2 linked regions of the Canis lupus familiaris genome follow. The protein of the gene in region 1 interacts with the protein of each later gene in a pairwise test. Links are inferred from orthologs where the notes say so. Each region holds a gene or a part of one and is shown in the gene's direction. Other genes may lie near its edges.

What was found.
Region 2: the proteins of TFCP2 (region 1) and CA1 interact in binary tests that used the Homo sapiens proteins (3 or more experiments, as listed by UniProt). The two-hybrid records come from large-scale screens. The link is inferred for Canis lupus familiaris from reciprocal best matches to the Homo sapiens genes TFCP2 and CA1.

The regions. Positions count from the first base shown.
Region 1 is NC_049248.1:42,972,703-42,976,931, reverse strand, and holds the start of TFCP2 (alpha-globin transcription factor CP2), read left to right. Parts: upstream 1-1,293; 5' UTR 1,294-1,581; coding exon 1,582-1,703; intron 1,704-4,229.
Region 2 is NC_049250.1:32,469,890-32,473,532, reverse strand, and holds part of CA1 (carbonic anhydrase 1), read left to right. Parts: intron 1-1,434; coding exon 1,435-1,530; intron 1,531-3,570; coding exon 3,571-3,633; intron 3,634-3,643. UniProt on the Homo sapiens protein: Catalyzes the reversible hydration of carbon dioxide. Can hydrate cyanamide to urea.

The DNA.
Region 1 (4,229 bases):
CTGGGTGGCTCAGTGTTGAGCATCTGCCTTCCACTCAGGGCGTGATCCAGGAGTCCTGGGATTGAGTCCCACACATCAGCCTGCTTCTCCGCCTCTCTCTGTGTGTCTCTTATGAATAAAGAAATAAGATCTTTTAAAAAAAATCTTAAAAAAGAATTATAATTGTAATTACGCGCTTGTCTTGAGGGATACTAATAATGTCATAAAGTTCCTGACATATAGTTGATGCTTAATAAACAATGGACATTATTATTTGGTCTTAAATAAAGGAAGAAGGTGGACCGGGTATGGTTATCCCCACTCTGCAAACGAGGAATCTCCATCTCAACGAGAGTAAACGATGATTCGAGAGTCACCGGACCCGTTAAGCGAAGCCGCCAGCCCGAATCCTGATCTTCAGACCACGACCTTTTAAAAACTACAACTTTCAGCCATCTCCTGCTTTCCCGTCCAAAATGCGTTAGGGGGAACGCGGAAGGTGAGCAGAAGCGGAGTCTTGACCTTCGGAGAGGGGGGCTTAAGGGCAGGGAGTATTCCAGCCGCAGAGGAGCGCCTACGGGGAGGGAGCGCCGGGGAGGCGGCCCGCGATCCTCCAGGCCCGGGGCGGGTCCGGTAGGCCCGGGGCGCAGGCCGCCCCCGCGCCCTAGAGCGCGGACTGGGAGCCCGCGGGAGGCAGCGGCCAGGTAGCCCCAGGCAGGGCCCTTTAAACTGGAGCCACCTGCCGCACGCGGGGCCCTCTCCCGGACCGCCCCGCCCATCCCGCGCAGCTAGCCAATCAGCACTGCCCGGTCCCACGGGCTCGCCTCCTCATTGGCGAGCCGCAGGGTGACGTCACGGTCTCCGGACCCGCAGAGGAAGAGGGCGCCCTGATTGGCTGGCGCCGGGGAGGGCGGTGGGGGGGACCCCGGCGAGTCTGGGTCTCCAGCCGCTGCTGGGCTCTCCCCTTCCATGTTCCGAGGCCGCGAGGGGGGCGGGGGGGCTGCTGCAGGGGGCGGGGAGTCGGCTTGGCGGACCCCTGGGTTTGGTTCTGCGAGCCTTGGGGTTGAGGAGGGCTGACCGGAAGTGAGCGCGGGGCTGACCGGAAGCGAGGCCTGGAGGGGAGACAGGGAGCGAGCGGGCGAGCGGGCGAGCGGGCGCGGGTCCCCGGAGCGAGGGGGCTTCCCGGAGAAGGGGCCTGGCGGGGGGCGGGGGGGAGGTGCCGGGGCGGCGTGCGCGCGCCGGGCGGGCAGCGGGTCGCTGCTGCGGGTGTGTGCGGAGGGCAGCGGGGGAGGCCGGGGAGGGGGAGCGCGGGAGGCCGGGGCTGCCTCGGGGGCCCGGGGCTGGGGGAGCCGAGGGGCCCTCGCGCGGCTGCGGGGGGCTGGGTGCGAGGGAGCCTGGGGGTGGAGGCGGGAGCTGGGATTAGTGGTGCGGGCGGTGCGGCTCCGGCCTGGGGTGGGCCCGAGGGGTCTGCGTGGGCGACCTCGGGTGGGAGGGAGTCCCCGACAGCCCTGCGCCCGCGCCCCCCGCCCCGTGGGGTAGAACCCCACTGCTCGCCTTTGTACGAGAAGCAGCGGGGTCTCCTGGGGCAGGGAAGGAGCCAGCATGGCCTGGGCTCTGAAGCTGCCCCTGGCCGACGAAGTGATTGAATCCGGGCTGGTGCAGGACTTCGACGCTAGTCTGTCCGGGATCGGCCAGGAACTGGGTGCTGGTGCCTATAGCATGAGGTGAGTGAGCTTGCTTTTTTTCTCTTTTCTGTTTTTTTTTTTTTTTTGATCCAGACCCTTGCACTCTTCTAAATAACAAAAGCAGGAAAGAGAATGGAAGGTGGTGTGTGTGTGTGTGTGTGTGTGTGTGTGTGTGTGTGTGTGTAGGGGGTGGGGGGTGGGGACAAAGGGGGAGGTGTTTATAGAGTTAAATAAGCCGCGGTTAGGGAACGTGGACTCGTTTCTTTGTTGCTCTGAATAGGGACTGTTGTGAAAGAAAGGAAGCCAGAGGTGGTGGGCAGCGTCAGGTCTGTGCGGGGTCAGTGGAAGATGCAAGAAGGGCCCTTGGTTAGCAAAACAGGTGAACGTGCACAGGGTGTCTGTCGTGCCCAACGCGGGAGACTTAGAGATGCGAGAAGGGGGCGACGTGGGGCCTGTCGGGGATGTTCGGGAGTCGGAGAGCTGGGGCTGAGTGATGGAGGTCGGTTGCCTGCTTGTTGGGAGGAAGAGCGAGACCTTCCTTGGGCGAACAAGTCCACGCATCGGTACTTTGGCCGGCTCTACGGATTCAATCTGGGAATTGTTTGCCTTTTTGAAACATAAGCTTGGAAAAGGAAAAGTCTCGGATAACTTTTAGATACTTCTGGACTTTATAGTGCATCCAGGCAGATGTTGATAACAAATAAAAATCTGCGAAAGTAGCATGACTTCTTCCCATGTAATTTATTTGCTGTGCGTGAGCTGCTTCATTCCCCAAGTAGAGTTGGTTTCATTTATGAGGCGTACAAGAGTCATTCTGGGACTGTTGAGACATCTGCAGCTTAGCGTGGGGTGGAATATAATTGGGTTTCCAAGTGCATTTTTCAGGCTGAAGATAAATAAGTGAGTTTTTTTTTTTTAAAGATTTTATTTGTTTATTCATGAGAGACACACAGAGATTGAGAGAGAGAGAGAGGCAGAGGGAGAAGCAGGCTCCATGCAGGGAGCCTGAAGCGGGACTCGACCCCGGGTCCCCAGGACCATGCCCTGGGCTGAAGGCAGGCACCAAACTGCTGAGCCATTCCAGGGATCCCTCTTTTTTTTTTTAATATATATATATATTATTTATTTATTCATGAGATACACAGGCAGAGGGAGAAGCAGGCTCCATGCAGGGAGCCTGATGTGTGGGACTGATCCCGGGTCTCCAGGATCACACCCTGGGCTGAAGGCAGATGCTGAACCGCTGAGCCACCCAGGGATCCCCAATAAGTGAGTTTTCAAGAGACTTTAGAACATCACAGTTTGAATTTACAGATTTATAGGGGAAGGGTTTTTTTTTTTTTTTTTTAAAGGGGGAAAGTGGACAAATTTTATATTCTGATAGTGAGATCCTTTGAGAGTTATGTAATGCAAACTTCTTGTCTTTGTCCCTGTCAAACCAAAATGGATTTTCCTCACTGAAGTAAAATGAGTTAGAACTTAATACTTCATCTTCAGTACTCAGAATAATAAAGGCTATCCTTCTATACGTATTATAGTGATTTTTCAGGGAAATTTAAGTGCTATCATGCGATGCTAATTAGGGTTGAGAAATTTAATTCTAGTTTTGCCTGTCCTTGTTTACATAAGTCTGCCCTTAAAAATAGAGATTAGCTTGGTCTGAAAGTAAATGTCCCAATCCTGATCTTGTACAGCAGTAGCTGACATAATATTTGACAATTTGTCCTGCTGTTCATGTAAAGACTAACACAGCGAAAAGTTTGGTTTTCTCTAGATTATTGGAGGATGAAGATAATTAAATGTAACTGTACTTGAAACTGTATGAAAATAGTTAACATCGGGAATCCCTGGGTGGCTCAGCGGTTTAGCACCTGCCTTTGGCCCAGGGCTTGATCCTGGAGTCCCGGGATCAGGTCCTGCATCGGACTCCCTGTATGGAGCCTGCTTCTCCCCCTGCCTGTGTCTCTGCCTCTCTCTCTCTCTGTGTTTCATTAATAAATGGATGAAGTCTTTAAAAAAAAAAGAGAGAGATAACATTGTCAACAAACATTGTGTACATCTGTTATGTGCCTTCTGTACCAGCCAACCTTACATTTAAAAATGCTTTCCTATGTCATATACCCAAGTGGTCATCACTGGTATTAGTACCACGGTTTGTGTTTTTACACATTTAGAATTTTTTTTCCTACATCAATTGTATAAGAGTTTTCAAACATAACTTTGTTTTCCCTAGAGCACAATATGCCAAAACTTGAAGTATATTCTCTTCGTTTCTTTCACCTTCCTCTTTTTTATGCATTTTGCTCTTGTCACTCTTCTCTTGACTCTGATACATGTTTAATCATTTGCATTAATTTGTATTTTTTTAAAGATTTTATTTATTTATTCATAAGAGACAGAGAGAGAGAGGTAGAGACGCAGGCAGAGGGAGAAGCAGACTCCACACAGGGAGCCTGAAGTGGAACTCGATCCTGGGACTCCAGGATCACACCCTGGGCTGAAGGCAGCCCTAAACTGCAGAGCCACCCAGGTGCCCCGAGTTCTTAGATTTTGATGCAGATAGTC
Region 2 (3,643 bases), on another chromosome or scaffold:
GAAGGAACTCCCAGGCCCTATTAAAATCAAACACACACATACTAAGTTTGGTAACAGAAGGAAATTTTTTTGTGTGAAAAAGGCAACTTGGAGTTGAGCTCCTGAGCCCAAGAACCATCACTCTCTTCAGGATGCCTCAAAAAACTGTTATCTCCACATCAGGCTAGGCTCAAGAGGAGGCTAATGCTTTCCTTTAAAGCTCTGACTCTGAGCTGACCATACCATTTGCTTCCTACTCAAATGTTCAAGTTTGGACACACCGATTTCTAAGAAATCTAAGTCAATGATCTTCTCATCTACTTTAAGAAAAATAAAATAATCCAAGCTAGAGATGAGAGGTGCTTAGCCACAAAATTCAACATGTGACTGAGGCCAGGAGGGAAAATGAGAGGGAGAGCAGGAGTTGGGGCAAAGAGAGGAAAAGGAGAGAGAAGGAAAAGAGAGAGAGAAAGAATGTGAGAGAAAGAGAGCAAGCAAGAGAAATTAGGTAAGTGGTATGGGGAGAATTAACTAATGTAAAGTAATATGATTGACCAAGTGATCTCTTTACATTAGGAGATCAAAGAAGGATTCTTTCAGTAATAGCATTTGTGTTCAGCCCTAATTCAAGACAAAAGGCTGCCATTGACAGATTACAGAGGACATTCCAGAAAAAAATCAGCAACTAATGCAAAAAAACTTGAAGTTATAAATTGAATGAGGAAGTATAATCTATGAGATGTGCTGAGAGATGGCTGTTGATAAGTGGGGAAAGTAAGAAATCAATGATAGCTGTTGTACTTTTTGATTGAGCAATTAGGTAGATGGTGGTCCCTTTTCCAAAAATGGGAAAATTAAAGAGTTTTGGCAAGGAAAAAGTCAAGAGTTGTACTTTGGCCATGTTCAGTTTGAGATACCTATTAGACATCCATGCGGGGATATCAAGAAGATACCGAGATGACATACTGGATATTCAGATCTAGAGTTCCATAGAGAGGTTAGGCTAGAGATGATGATTCGAGAGGTGCCTAGATGTGCTTAAGAGAATGTGTTTTGGGCCAAGACCCTCAGATTGTCCAGGAACCCCTTCTCATAAAGTTACTAAAAAGTACCTCACCTGACAGGTGTTATTTCAGTTCTGTTGAAAACTAGTTAGTTGGAATTCCTGATCTTTTCATACCAAAACAATTTTTAAAAAGAAGTAATACTGAATAGTTGTGATATTACGGGAAAATAAATTTTATTCACTGGTTCCATAGAATTGCAAATTGCCTGCTCTACTCAATGTACATAACCCTTCTTAAGAGTGAGAACATAACCCTTCCTATCTGCTGGACCCAGGTTCACATAAACGTTATCTAAGCCAAACACATCTTCATCTATTAACAAGTTAATTTACAACGTTCTCTCTTCACAATGGTATAAATAACTAACTGACCACATTATTATTTTTAGCTTCACATAGTTCACTGGAATTCTTCAAAGTACTCCAGCTTTGCTGAAGCTGTCTCACAGGCTGATGGTTTGGCAATTATTGCTGTTTTGATGAAGGTGAGTTACAGAGAGTTACAGAGATCGGCTAACACTATTTCTTACCAATCAGACACCAAAATAGTATAAAATAAGGCAAAAAGATATTTGAGTCTTTCTTTTTTGAAAATGTTTCCATTCTACTCATGGCTACAGGTGAGCAAACAGCTCCCTAGTACTTTGCTGCTTTGATTTCTCTTGGCTTCTACCTTCTTAAGAGAATTAAGTTTCAGGTAGGGATAGAATGGGAAGGTGTTGGAGGGAGAGGGAACTTCTATACTCCAAATTTTCCAAATTCCTTTTCCTCTAAACTTCCTATTTCACAGGCTCAGGAATTTACCAATTTAATGCATCATTAGGGAAAAAATATTAAGAGGATTATTGTCCCATAAAGAAAGTTCAGTTAAGGTTTAAAATGGCTGGTGTTGCTTAAATCCTCTCTAGGAGAGTCCCTGAAAAGTTCTATAGGGAAGTTATTATTGAATTGGGTATACTTGGGTCTTTTGGGTTCTGCTCCCCAAATTCCGATGTGCAGATATCCCCCACACCTCTAGCAAGCAATTCTTGGACACCAGCAGGCATCCAGACATTCAGCTCAATTTTGACAGTGTCCATGCAGAGATAGCCTCAGGTTCCACAGGTTGAGGGTTCAGACTTACAAGATTGCAAGTTCCCCCGCGCACCTCCGGTGTCAGTCTGCAGCCCACATTGTTAGTGGGGCTTCCGACTTGACTGACTATAAATCAGAGTTTCCCATGACCTCTTCCTTGGCTTGGAAGAGGTTAATTAATTTGCTAGCACAGCTCGCAGAACTCAGAGAAACATTTTACTTACTAGATTACTGGTAATTACACAAGGATATAACTCAGATGGAAAAGATGCACAGAGGAAGGTATGGGCAGAGGCAAAGAGCATCCTCGCCCTATCCAGGCCCACTGTCTCCCCTGTATCTCTCCAAATTCACCCATCTGGAAACTCTCTCTACCCAGTCCTTTTGGGTTTTTATGGAGACTTCGTTATTTACCCACGACTGATTAAATCATTGGCCTTTGGCAACTGATTCAAGCTCTAGTCTCTGTCCCCTCTCCCGTCCCCAGAGGTCTGAGGGTAGAGCTGAAAGTTCCAACCCTCTAATCGCATAGTTGGTTCTCCTGGCATCCAGCCCTCATCCTTAGATTCAGTTCAAAAGTCCCCCCAGTCAACATAACAGAAGATACCTTTATCACTATCACTTAGGAAATTCCAAGGGGTCTAGGAGCACTGTGTCATAAACAGGTTTCTTATTATAAATATCGCACTTAGGTGGCTAACTTTTGGAATTATAGTGATTCTAGTTAACCTTTATTGATCACTTACAACGCACCAAACACTGTACCGATTATAACTAATGAAACAGGCCCAAAGTAAGAGGTTGTGTTTGGTGTCACAGTTCCTGGATTTTGCTAAGTTCCGGGATTTTGACTTGTGTGTCCTTGAACATCTTGACCATATTAAATTAAAATCGAGCTTTTTGTTTGCCACTTTCCTTGTGCTGGGGCCAAACCACCAACATCCCAAGAAGTCAGCAAGAAGGAGAACAGCCTATCGACAGAACTGATAAAAGTGAACTTTTGCATAGTGACCACTTCACCTGCCCAATCAGTGAAGTGCGAATCCCACCTTGCTGGTCAGCACACATGAACCCTTCTCAAAAACTACTTACGTGATCTTCCTTTTCTTCCACAAATACCCCGAGTCTCTGTCCTGAAATTGGAATGCTATTTGGGTTTCTACCCCAATCTGTGTGCCCCGAATTGCGATTCTTTGATCTCCAATAAATGCGTTGCCCCTTGAGCCAGTTTCTTGTTTTTTGGTTGACAGCAGTTACACATCATGAACAATTCATTTATAGAGCACAAGGGCCAGCAAGGACCTACACCAAGCAAAATTCCCTCTCTGAAAGCAGAAAGAAAGTGTCTTCCCTTCCTTCAGTTACTGTTTTTAATCGGAAAAAAAAAATTAGCTAAACACAGTTTGACTTTATTACAATTTCTAACTCACATTTTTTTTTTTTATCTCCAGATTGATCAAGCCAATCCAAAACTGCAGAAAGTGCTGGATGCCCTAAACGCAGTTAAAACCAAGGTCAGTAGAC